3 linked regions of the Drosophila melanogaster genome follow. The protein of the gene in region 1 interacts with the protein of each later gene in a pairwise test. Each region holds a gene or a part of one and is shown on either strand. Other genes may lie near its edges.

Region 1 (4,731 bases):
AGGCCTAACAAGGGGTGGTGTCTTCTGGATGTTATCCATACCTGTGAGGAGTCTTTTATTTTGAGTGCCTGGACTTTTTGACAATTAGACCCATTTCTTACTATGGCTTCCAGTATAATATTACTCAATTTTATTATTATGAATGTATGTATAGTAAATTACAATTCTAATGGGCGCTCGGTAAAATATTTCGCGGGGGGTTTGTACATAGGTGGTGGAACTCCCCATCGTCATTTTCCTCCTCCTCCTTCCATCTCGTTTACTCAAAAGTGATATAAAAACGTGGAAAACCAACGCAGAGACTAAAATACACGATGCTTTGCGTTACTGCTTGTCCGTTGCTTTCTCTCTCAATTGCCACCGTACAGAAAAAATGTCCAGAATATTTAATACCGTCCACCACCACCACCGCCTCCTCCGCCACCACCTTTGCGGCGATCGCGATCGTTTCCGCGATCATTGCCACGCATGTTGTCCCGCTCGTTGTTCAAGTAGTTTCCTCCGCCGACACCGTCGCCTCTGCCGCCTCCTCTTCGACCCGGGGATCGGGACCTGCTGCGGGAGCCGCGACGGCGTCCAGGGGATCGGGAACGGGAGCGGGCACGACGGCGGCGGGAGTAGAGGTACCTTCGCAGCTCACGCGAGATGGGCTTCAAGTGCATGAAGTTGCAGAAGCCGGAGCGGGTACATTCGCCCATCTCGTACTGCCGACAGCAAGCCTCGCGGAAGTCGGTCACCGGCGATAGTTCCGAGTACACCGGTCGACCACCGAACCACCGGTTGTTCAAATCGTTTGCCGCCTTTTCCGCATCAGCCTCGTTACGGAATTTGATGTACACATTGCCGACCAGATGGTCGCCTAGGTTGTCGCACACGTTCATCTCCTCGATTTCCCCGTACTTGTCCTCGCACTCTACGAACACGTCCTCGAAAAAATTGTCGTAGTGTTCTTGCATCTCCTCGTCGGAGACGTTGGCCACCAGATGGGAGCCATCCGCGGATTTGGCGGAGTTTTGGGGGTTCACGTATAGATTTTGGAGAAGCACCGTCTGCGAGAAAGTGGGTTTGTTGTGGATGCGAGAGCACCGGTCGCCGTGGCGGCAGGCGCCGATCTTGAAGTAGAACGAACAGTTCACCCTGGGAAATGCAACGCCATTTAGTTATTAATCCCGGCAACGTTAAAATAAATGTGCCATGCGACTTACTTGTCCTTTTCCGTGCCAAAAATGGATGCCAAGTACTCGGCCATGCTGGCGGCTTTACTGTGGTGTTGCTGTGGCCAAAATGTGTAACTTATCTACCCGCTTGTCTCTGCAACGCGGTCAAACTGCAATTATGTTAGCCGCCTGTTTATTTAGTGATAATTTTCAATTATTTTCGGAAACCGAAAAAAGCAGCGTCTGGTCGTATTTTGCACGGCGTTGCCAGCCTCGAATCTAGAGTTGCAAATAAAATCGATGATTAGTTATCGATATTTAGTGTTTTTGGCAGCATCGTTTTTCGATACCTCTGTTCTTAATTTAAATGTTTTAAAATATGCTAACATTTTAAATATTAATTTCAAATATTTAAATATTAATGCACTTAAAAGCCTGAGGACTTATTTTTCATTTGACTAGAAAAATTTTACAATTCAAAATAAGAAATTGAGAAAATTATTTACGCAAATAATAATATAATATAAACATAAATAAACAATACAATAAAATAACATTTAAATTCTATAAAGCTCAAGGTATTATTTATATTTGATCAACAATTTTTTTAATTTATATAAGCAATGGAAAAAATTATTTAAGAAGGCTTGCTGGTTTTGTTCCCCGCTTGAGAACGAGCTAAGTTCTAAACCGCAGTCTGGAAAAAGATTAAATTCAGTCGCAGAAGCATTGACAACCCTATCGATTGCTTCTAGAAAAGTCGGCATTTTTCGCATTTTCACCTGGCACGGCACATTTCGCAGCGTGTTTTATTAAAAAGTCGTACAAAAATACAGGAAAAACTGTAATTCGACAGCGCTATCCTCTCCCTTATCAGAAATGGACAAGGTAAGTGCCCGAGACAAAGGAAAGGCGTTGGCATTTCCAATCAAAAACCCTTGCGGTTTTCGCAGGTGAACGAACTCAAGGAAAAGGGTAACCAGGCGCTCAGTGCCGAGAAGTTCGACGAGGCGGTGGCGGCGTACACAGAGGCCATCGCTCTGGACGACCAGAACCATGTGCTCTACAGCAACCGTTCGGCGGCATTCGCCAAGGCTGGAAAGTTCCAGGAGGCGCTAGAAGATGCGGAGAAGACCATTCAGCTTAATCCCACCTGGCCTAAGGGTTACTCACGCAAAGGAGCTGCCGCTGCGGGTCTGAATGACTTTATGAAGGCCTTCGAAGCGTACAACGAGGGTAAGTTCAAACACAGCTCAGTTATATGCCATGAATCACCCGACCTAACCTCACTAACCTCGGTTACCGGCGCAGGTCTCAAGTACGATCCCACGAATGCTATACTCCTGCAAGGCCGCATGGAAACTACTGCCTCGGCTCTGAGCTTTATGCAATCGCAGGGGGATATACCCATGGACGTTGATCCCCAGCAGGCACGCAGCCGCAGGGCTCCATCGCCACCGCCGGCGAAACCGGCTGAGCCCCCAAAGCCCGCTGAACCTCGGGTAGAGGACATGACTGAGGAGCAGAAGAATAAGTACTTCGCGAGGAAGGAGAAGGAACTGGGCAACGCCGCCTACAAGAAAAAGGACTTTGAAACGGCCCTAAAACACTACCACGCTGCCATTGAACACGATCCCACGGATATCACGTTCTATAACAACATAGCTGCTGTTCACTTTGAGCGCAAGGAGTACGAGGAGTGCATCAAGCAGTGCGAGAAGGGCATTGAGGTGGGGCGCGAAAGCCGCGCCGACTTTAAGCTGATAGCTAAGTCCTTTGCTCGCATCGGTAACACCTATCGTAAGCTAGAGAACTACAAGCAGGCGAAGGTTTACTATGAGAAGGCCATGTCCGAGCATCGCACCCCTGAGATCAAGACCTCGCTGAGCGAGGTGGAAGCCAAAATCAAGGAGGAGGAGCGAATGGCCTACATCAATCCGGAGAAGGCCGAGGAAGAGAAGGAGCAGGGCAACCTTTTCTTTAAGAAGGGGGACTACAGCACCGCTGTAAAGCACTACACCGAGGCCATCAAGCGCAATCCGGATGATCCCAAACTCTATAGTAACCGCGCCGCCTGCTACACCAAGCTGGCCGCCTTTGATCTGGGCCTCAAGGACTGCGACACTTGCATCAAGCTAGACGAAAAGTTCATAAAGGGCTACATCCGCAAGGGCAAAATTCTACAGGGCATGCAGCAACAATCTAAGGCGCAAGCCGCTTACCAAAAGGCCCTGGAACTGGACCCCAACAACGCGGAGGCCATTGAAGGCTACCGTCAGTGTTCGATGAACTTCCAGCGCAATCCGCAGGAGGTCCTCAAAAACGCAATGTCCGACCCGGAGATTCAACAGATCTTAAAGGATCCGGCTATGCGTATGATCCTCGAGCAGATGCAAAGCGATCCCAATGCGGTCAAAGAGTAAGTACCCGTTTGGCTTTATTCGTTCGCTTTTTTGGGTTTCATTGGTAAAATCTAGAAATTAATAGCCCATTTGAAGTTAACAAGCAGACTTACGTTTCTTTGGTCTTATATATTATTAACAACCTGTATACTATATTTTAATTAACAACCTCTATATTTCAGACACTTGCAGAATCCTGCCATCGCCGATAAGATAATGAAACTGCTGGAGTCGGGCATCATTCAGATTCACTAGGCACTCCAGATCCACAAACGAACATCCTCATACAATCACTAACTCACACACAAACCCCATTGATAAACATTCAGGAGAGAACCATTACGCATTATTATGGCGTCTCTAAGCTGGTTAACCAATATATCGTTTTTGATGAAACGGGCCACAATTAATGCTAAACGTAATTACCTAAGAAATCACATCGCCTATTCGCAGAACGACGATAACTACCATTAACAGAAATTTAAACTAAAAGGAGAAAACAAAATCATTGATAAATGTCTGCCTAATTGATTTACGCAGACGGGTGGAGTAGGCTCCAAACGTCATGGTCCTTATTTTCTTACTACAATAAATATGCTGTAGCTTAGCTCTAAAATAAGTTTCTGTTTGTACAATAAACGAGTCACGGAAGGGTAAGCTATGATTTTGAATTTGGCGCCCAAGGGCTACAAGATGGGTAACTTACGGCTTAGCAGTCGTTCTCTAACGTTTTTCCAGGGCTGCCAAATTATTTAGAATATATTTTATATTTATACAAAGAATGATTTGCGCCAATCGCCTTTTAAATAAGAAATTTAAATGTTATTATAATGCAAAATCGCATATTTTCGGAAAAAAGCATAGACTGCAAATCTTTATTTTGAAAAAATATAATTTCGAATGAATTAAGTTGTGAAATTAAAATGATTAAAAGCAACAACCTGGCCAACCTTTTTGTAATTATAATGTGTGAAATATTTTGTATTCTTGGGCAGCCCTGTTTCCCGCGCTTACGTTATTATATCCAACCGATACGTAGTTTCGTCTTGCTCAACACTGCAAGCCGCCAGTGCTACAAAGGCCCTGCAGCTCACTCGCAGCAAGTGGCATGGCAACAACAGCGCTGTTCAACACCGCACGATTTCTACCCGAAAATAATGGTGTGCTGATAT
Region 2 (4,850 bases), on another chromosome or scaffold:
TGCTGCCAGTGTGACCGCGCTGGGCTTCGAATTTGTAGCTAAAAAGTGCCAAAGGGCGCCTAATATAAGACGAGCTACAGTCGTAAATTTCGACAATAATAAAGTTTAAAGTGGTTCTTTAAAAATTATCGGGATGTAACTACAGTCTATTGGCGTAAACATTTAAGTTTTCGTTTTATTTGTAAAACAATAGTAAGTGTTAAGTTAATCTTGGTTCATGTCACTGCTAATCCAGTGTTTGCTAATGTCGTTCAGTCTGTAACTTTCCATAGCGGTAAACTTAAACTATGCAAACACGTAACAGTTTTTCAAACACTTATTTATTTTGGCACAACTGCAAAAGAGTAATACTCGTTTCCAACGAAAACAACTGGTTGTTCACTAAATGGCGCAACCTAATTGCACCATAAATAAGCATATCCAGTCGGTGCACAGAAAACAGCTGGCTTACCCAAAAAAAACACTCTGAATTCGCTATTTTAATCTCTCCGAGAACAGAACACACCTTTTCAACGCAAATGCCGGTCGACACTGAGTGGATTGTTACTCCACGAACCGAACATATACTCGACTAGGGCCGCTGGCATTCATTATCAGAACTGAATGCATGTGTATTTCGTTCAGAATGTACATACATAAGCTATATACCAACTGATATGGACACTGGATTTCGGATGGGGAAAGTCAAGCGTGTCGCTCCGATAACGAATCAGTATGTTTTGGACTCGGCTAACACAAGTTCAGAGCATTCTGAACGTTATTCCAGCCTAATCTGCTAATATCAATGGTGTTAATATTAGTTGGACATAGTACACTCCCCACTTTAAACCGAACGCATTTGTTTATATATCGCACTTCTATACTTTCCGATAATAGTGCTTGGTAACGGTGACTCCGATTAAACAAATGACATATAACAATGAGTGCGATTAAACAATATATGACGGAGTCACCATGAGTGAAACTAAATGTGTTTGAGGATTTTAAGTTATTTTTAGCTAAATAATGATGTTACATGCGTGTCCTATAAAAGCTTTCACGCTTATTAAGATTATTAAGATTATTGGACTTTACAATAATGCATATAATTTAAAAACCCCTTAGTTTTTGATCAAGTTTTAAGCTGTACAGGAAAAACTAGATTTCACCCTCTGAGTACTGCTTCTATTTTTATACACATTGTATGCAAAGCTTTTGTGGCATACGAACTTTTTGACTCACCAATATTAATGACAGTAGTTATCGGCCGATCTCCTGCTGCTTTAACGGAAACTCTATAAAATCGGGCATTTTGATAAGTAAGACTTTCATTAGCTTACCATTTATTGGAGCTCCATTGGCCTCCGGATGAGGTTTAATCGCGTTGTCAAACATTATCGTAGTGTTTTTTTGTTTGGTTATAAATTCGCTATTGGGGACACTTTTAAATAGCACAAAAGCTGTAGGGATTCCCAGGAAACGAATGTGGTAAATGTGGTTAACTACTAACTATTAAGTGGCAAATGTCCGAACAAGAAGATTGCACACTTAACTAAGCAAACCAAATGAAAATCAATGTCAATTTGTCAAGTTGTCCTCGTGGGAAAATCAATTAAATAACCAGCTGGCGAAATCCTTCACAAATTCCACATTGACTTACACAAGCTTTTTGGCCCGCCAATTGGTTAAGGTGAACTAAAGATTGAAATATTGTCTAAACAAGAAATATTACAATAGATGATCAATATTTCTAGTATTCATATTAGATTGTAATATTTTTTCCGCCATTGTTTATGGCACAACTTTGCACTTCCTTACGAATAATAGTTTACAACAATACTTGTAAAAATATGGATTTCTATAAGTCGAATTTTTAATAGAATTTCCAAGTTTATAGGGATCAAATGTAAAAGAAATTCTGGGAAACTACAATAGCAAGCAAGTTGGATACTGCGTATTTATTAGTAGAATTCTTCGCGCTCAGTAATGGATATCTAATAGTCGTGACACTCGACAATTTCTTTATTAATTTGAAAGTGCAGCTGTGTTTGATCCCTTTTCATAAATATTTGTACATTTTGACTTGGGGATAAACATAATAAAATAATTGCAAATGATCAAACAAATCGTATACAATTCAAGCTTACGATTTGAAGTCTTTAAAAGCTGAAACAACAATATATCAATGAAAAAACACCCAAATGCACCAGCACTCCATAATCAGTAATCAGTTTCAAGTTCAACCATGCAAATATGGCTGTTGGCCAACACACTCGATGATTCAATGCGAATTGAATTGATTAGCACAGGGGATCACGTTTCTGTATGACAACATATTCACATGGCGTTTATCATGTAACCGACTTCGACTGGATTTGGTTTTCGGTTTTCCGTCTCCAGTTTCACTTTCATTCCAGCATCTGGGCCGGCTAATTGTCAACGCAGTTGGCTAATAAGCGCGAGTGTAGATTAAATAACCACTATCCGGTACTTTGGTTTAAATCCAAGCAAATCTGCGCGCGATAACGCCCGAAAGCCAACTGATTTGAGTGGCGGAGCACTGCCAAGTGGCCACTGGCCGTTGACCACCGCCGCGTGTATCTGGAGGCGGAAAGCCGGACCGATGCACTCGACCACACTTCGGCTGGAGCGGCTTACAGTGAATCGGGTCGCTTAATTACACATGGACACTATGTGCTGGTCTAATTTGTATGCGTAGCCCGCCACTCGAAAAAAAAAAATTAGCCAGCAAACAAGTCGCTGTATTCAAAAGCGTATTGAACACGCACCGGGCACTCGGATTCGAATTCGAATTAGGATTGAATCTCGGATTCACCTGACGCCGCCGCGCTCGAAACACGTCTAAGCCCGGCTAAGCGCTCCAAGTTGGCCCGTACCCGCAGTCGTCGTCGCTTTTCCAGTTTCAGTTTTCTTCGCGTTCTTGATTATCTCGAATCTCGAATCTTAAATCTCAAATCTCGACTTTTGATTTGAATTTCTTAATGGGGGTCTTCGGCGCTAATCACAGGTCGCAGATGCACACGCATTCCCGGCCCAAAGTCACCAGATAATGGTGATGGATGCCAGCCACCTCTCTACTAATCCGAATGACGATACAGTCCGGCTTCTGTGCAACGAACACGCCGTTTAAAAGGCGTTTGTCACATTGCAAAAGAGTGGCACTAATTGGAAAAACTGGAACCACCAACTGCCAATTTACAAACTGGGCGCCTGCGAAAATCTGTTTTTCCTCAAATTAAATCCACATTTTTGATAGTTGCTCATGGCAACTTATTGGGTTCGTCAACTAGACTCGTTTTTTTTTATCATGAAGTAAAGTTGTAACAAATCTGTGCTACAGCAAAAAAAAAACTCTTATAAAAGTGTTACATTCTTTAAATGCTATTTAGAAGCAAAGTTAAGGGCACAAGATATAACTACTGACCAGAAATTATGACTGTAATGAAGGTAGTTTTAATTTGAGATTTGACATCAGTTCTATTTAGGCAGTGCAGCCTGTACCCGATGCCCTAGCCAATTAGGAATAGGGCGAGCCAGGCTAAAGATCGTCCCGTAAACAATAAACTATTTGCCTTTCAGGTGTTTGTTATTTCGAGCAGCTGTTTTGCGGCAGAAGCCAGCAAGTGAAGTGACGGCTAATAAATAACCGGTTATTGATAAGTATTCACTTGCATCGAATCACAGCGGACAGCTTCGCACCCTGACCATGAGATCCGGACAAAAACCTCAGTGCCAGACGTCGTCTGCTTGAGATCGAGAGCTGAGATCCATTAAACAGATCGCGTTTAGTCCAGTAAACCTGCCAATTGGCATATCAGTCCGGATTCTAATGCCGTAATTACCTGTTCTCGCCACTGAAATTAGCTGGTCGCTACCAGCTGGCGGTGGACTTTGGCTCGCTTTGCCCAACTTTACGGCCAGCAAACAATTGTAAAAGTGATTTCGAATGGTGCTCTTTGCACACAAAGCTGCCGCAATTGTAGTCACGCAATTGATGCGATTCCAAATAGTATTCCAACTTTTCAGTTGCCTCGCCAAGTCTCATTATGCCCAGCGGCGTACTTAGCGATTCCTTTTGTCATTCTAATGGCCGCTCGGCACTTTTTCGACAATGCCCGCAACCCATTTGCGTCGCATGTATGTGGGCTCTATGGAGATGGAAGCGTGGCCTTGACCCAGGTTCCGGGTCCGCGTGACGGCATCACCCATTAAACGAGGCAGCTAAAGATGCTGGCATTTGAGAAGTAAATATCTATGGGCTAAAGCCTTATCTTTGTGTCAGAAAGTAACTAAGATTGAAATTAATCATTCTATCAACCAATTCGAAGGTATCATAATGTTTCAATTACGTTTGAAACCCATAATTGACTTAAGATTGGCTTTAATAACCAGATATGTAGAATGACTTGAAGTAATTGCTCCGAATCAATTTCAATCACAATCATGATTACATATCGAGGTATTCAATCAATCCATTCTAAGATTCATTGAACGATCGTATGCAATCCACATCTTCGCTCAGTTTTTCGAGCTCCAACCGGGAGTACGTTACTTACCTTAGATTGGCTTCAAAACCCAGAAATATATTGATTGTTCCCATTCAATTTCAATTCAATTCAACCAATCCATTGTAAGCATTCATATGGAACCATTAGCTAGTTGAACTCTTATGCACCCGTGAGATACAGTAGCCTATCTTTAGGCTTGCGCTGTGGAACTCAAGTGTTCAAGTGAGATAGAAAAAAACGCAGAGCAGTGTCCACAATTATTAGTGTATAATTTATTATTAAATATGTTATAAAATTTGTTTATCGTATAAAATATACTCTTACTCTTGTCTCGTCAAGTCC
Region 3 (3,322 bases), 5.7 Mb from region 1:
ACCGCGAGACGTGGCACCTCCAATCTTCTCCACACGCGCGATCACGCCCAGAGGCACGTCGACGACGACGGGCGGCTCCTGATCCCGCAGGGGAAGCGACCGGAAGTACAGACGGTAGTTGGTTATGGTAAGAGCGCCGAAGACGGGGCCGCGGTACGGACACACGTAGGTCACGTCGTTCTTCTGGTCCTGGTCCTCTTCGCCCTCCAGATAGCCGAAGGGCGTGTCCCGCAGAATGCCGTTTTCTCCGCCACCGTGCTTGGAGCCCAGCGAACTGGACTTGGAGCTGCTGTCCAGAGAGTTGCTGCTGGCAGTCTTGGAGGCCAACTTGTCGGCCAGGCTCGCGGAGGGATCCATTTTCGGATGGACACGAGTGGTGTTTGGCTATTGTGTTGCTGGTTGCAGCTGTGTTTTCTTTTCCAATTGTTAGCTAAATGCAATTCACCAAAACTCATGCAGCAGTGCTGCCAACTCACGCAATATAAAATCATCTGGAATAATTTCCCATTCCTCCGACAAAAGTACCAAAGGGACATTATGTAGTGGCGGAAAATTTGATTTTTATGTATTGGAATTAATCAACTTATTTCAGACATTTAACTGGTAATCAAGGAAAGCTAGAACAATTCCGCTTTTAAAAAAATCTCTAACATATGTATTTAATGCTTAATAAATTAAGTGTTAGAAGTGGCGTCTTCTTTAAGTTTACAGCGCATTGATTGTGTGACAGAAAACATCGGACCATGTCCTGGGATTATAAACTCGCACAGTTGTGCCATTTTACTGCGCTCCTCGCGCTGCACCTTCTCGTTTTCGCTTCCAGCGTCCATCCAAATGTTCTCATCGTCGATGTCCTCGCGACGCTCGAAGAGATCTCCGGTGATACCGACCCGTCCACCCAGCTGGGAATTTTCCACAAGAACTGAAACGCAGCTGAGGGTGTGTCCTGGCGACCGCCTCACTACCACCTCGGCATTCGAATCTAGGGCCAGTTGCTCGTCTGGATTACCACTACCAAGGTGGTCCATGTAGAGGTCGTGATGTGAGGCACATGCGCCGACCAAATGCATTCGTGCCTTCTGAAACAGATAGTTGCAACCGATGTGGTCAGAGTGTCCGTGAGAGCAGACCACCACGTGGATGTCATCGACGCCTAGTCCCTGCTGGCCCAACAACGAACGCAGGTGATCTCCATCCCAGGCCGTCAGTGTGTCCACGATTATGTTGGTGCCATCCCGGCAGCGGACCAGTGTGCATGTGCAGTTAGCCCGCATGGCGGACTCGTCTCCTTCTTCTTGGCGAGAATAGCCGACCTGGAGCACGGTCACCTGGTTTCGTTGCGCAGGATCAGTGTATGCCATTGTTTAGTTGTTTAACAACGATAACGCTCTAGCCTATTAAATTATTTAGGGTCAGCTGCTTATCAGCTGTTGCTTACAAACAGAAATGTCAACTCGTCAACAACCTGTTGAAAACTAGAGTTGCCACTATGAAACTTTTGACGAAATAAACAAATTACTTACGAATTAAGTAATTACTTATCTAACTTGTATACCGCTAATCACAGTTCAGAAATTATTTTAAGTTTTTTTTTACACATTGATTCCATTATTGGTTTCAGTATAATGGAAATTAGGATTTCATGGCAACACCGACACCAGCTGATCGCCAAAAATTCACTCACATGTTTATACGGCGTAATTTTGTTATTATTCAACGATTTCTGAATAAGCGTGAGATAAAGTGGCATGTATCTGAACCACCTGCCGCGGACACAATGGAAGTACCTACAATACCTTCTGCGAGTGCGTCAGCTTCAGCTCCTGCGACGGCACGTTAACATTGGCGCAAAGCCGCCCATCCAAACAGCTGCCTTGCTGCCGGCATTGGGCCAAAAACTGAGGAAGCACTCGCAGCTGGTGAACGGAGATCTCCAAGACAAGTTTGGCGTGCCACGGGAACAGGATGCTCTTCTAACCCGACTGGAGGAGGCCAAGACGGGTAACCAGATTTTAGATGTGTTGGAGAGCTGTGACGGCCTGCAGAGCTCCCATGTGGTGATGGGAATCTCACTGCTGTGGAACATCTATCACGACGCGGAGCAGGCAAGTAAAGATGCCATCACGGATCGCGTGCTGCTTAACGTGCTCCCAAAGTTGGCCCCTTATGTACACCAACTGGAGATCGATGATCTCAGTAGATGCTACCTGTACCTGCGCAAAATGCATATACCAAACTCCGAGGCAGTCGTGGAGGCCGTGCTGACGAGATCTCTTCAATTAATCGAGTCACAAGTTGATGACGAAGTCATTCCCTTGACCTCCTTGTCTCGCCTCTCGGTGGGCATCAACTTGGAACGCGACTTCTTCACTCCGCTTGTGTGTAGGAACTTTATTCCGCACCTGGAACATCACATCAATTGGTGTCGCAGCGCAGAGCAGGTTCGCCTTCTGTCCACGTGCCTCTTTCAGCTACACTTTCTCATTGATGAGGAGCTGTTTACGCGCTTCAAGTTGCGCTTGACTGAAATGATGCAAAGCGGCGTCCTCAGCAGCGAAACCCCTAAGGCTCTTCTGAAGGTGATCCACATGCTGAATATTCCAGTGTGGTCGCAGACCCACACCCAATTGATTCGGGAGGTCATGCTGGTCTTGCGACCTTGCATACACCAGATGGAGTCTGCAGATCTAAAGAGCATTTGTCGCACATTTTTGCATCATCAAGAACCCGCCGCACTGATAGAGCCGCTCAAGAAAGCCCTTGAAAAGTTACTACAGGAAGAAGGCACTGCTGACGCCCTGTTTTGTGCAGTTCCCTTTGCAACGCCACTGCAGAGAGACCAGTATCTGCATCAGTTTAAGGAACTGCTCTACTCCGAAGAGGCCTGGCAGCAACCCAATGCGAGCGGACATTTATTCAGCGTTCTGCGTGCACTAAAAGTCTCCGACATTGAATTCTGCAACACATACTGGTCAGGAGTTGTAAAAGAGCTGGAGTCCTGTCCGGAAAAGCATTTGCACCTACGGTTCCTGAGACACTGTCAACGCTATATGAACTTTAATAACAATCTGGGAGGAACCTACCGTCACTTAGAACTGGAACGAAAGCTAAGTCGCATGTGCATGAATGCTATTGAGCATGACATAGCGGGAAGGCTGCCAGCGAAGTTCGCACGACTTGCATCCTTTGTGCTAGCTTACGGGCAGACTCCGTTGGCCTGGAAGAAATTTCCCAACTTTTTGTTAAGCAAAATGCTCGCAATGGCGCCCCAGCTTGGCATTCAGGATTGCTTTCTCCTCAGTCGCGGCATGCAAATAGCCAG

Evidence for each region.
Region 2: the proteins of Stip1 (region 1) and Aldh-III interact in a two-hybrid assay, tested with the Drosophila melanogaster proteins (one large-scale study listed by BioGRID).
Region 3: the proteins of Stip1 (region 1) and CG9117 interact in a two-hybrid assay, tested with the Drosophila melanogaster proteins (one large-scale study listed by BioGRID).

Annotation. Positions count from the first base shown.
Region 1 is NT_033779.5:293,236-297,966, forward strand, and holds Stip1 (stress induced phosphoprotein 1), read left to right. Parts: upstream 1-1,886; 5' UTR 1,887-2,036; coding exon 2,037-2,045; intron 2,046-2,110; coding exon 2,111-2,393; intron 2,394-2,468; coding exon 2,469-3,576; intron 3,577-3,741; coding exon 3,742-3,814; 3' UTR 3,815-4,214; downstream 4,215-4,731. Other genes in the region: U2af38 (U2 small nuclear riboprotein auxiliary factor 38), read right to left, coding at 387-1,137, 1,206-1,249.
Region 2 is NT_033778.4:7,474,121-7,478,970, forward strand, and holds the start of Aldh-III (aldehyde dehydrogenase type III), read right to left. Parts: upstream 3,043-4,850; 5' UTR 2,127-3,042; intron 1,440-2,126; 5' UTR 1,375-1,439; coding exon 1,320-1,374; intron 1,261-1,319; coding exon 1,222-1,260; intron 540-1,221; exon of another isoform or gene 452-539; intron 11-451; exon of another isoform or gene 1-10.
Region 3 is NT_033779.5:6,036,455-6,039,776, forward strand, and holds CG9117 (uncharacterized protein), read right to left. Parts: upstream 1,449-3,322; 5' UTR 1,362-1,448; coding exon 675-1,361; 3' UTR 543-674; downstream 1-542. Other genes in the region: mtm (myotubularin), read right to left, coding at 1-357; CG31643 (uncharacterized protein), read left to right, coding at 1,749-3,322.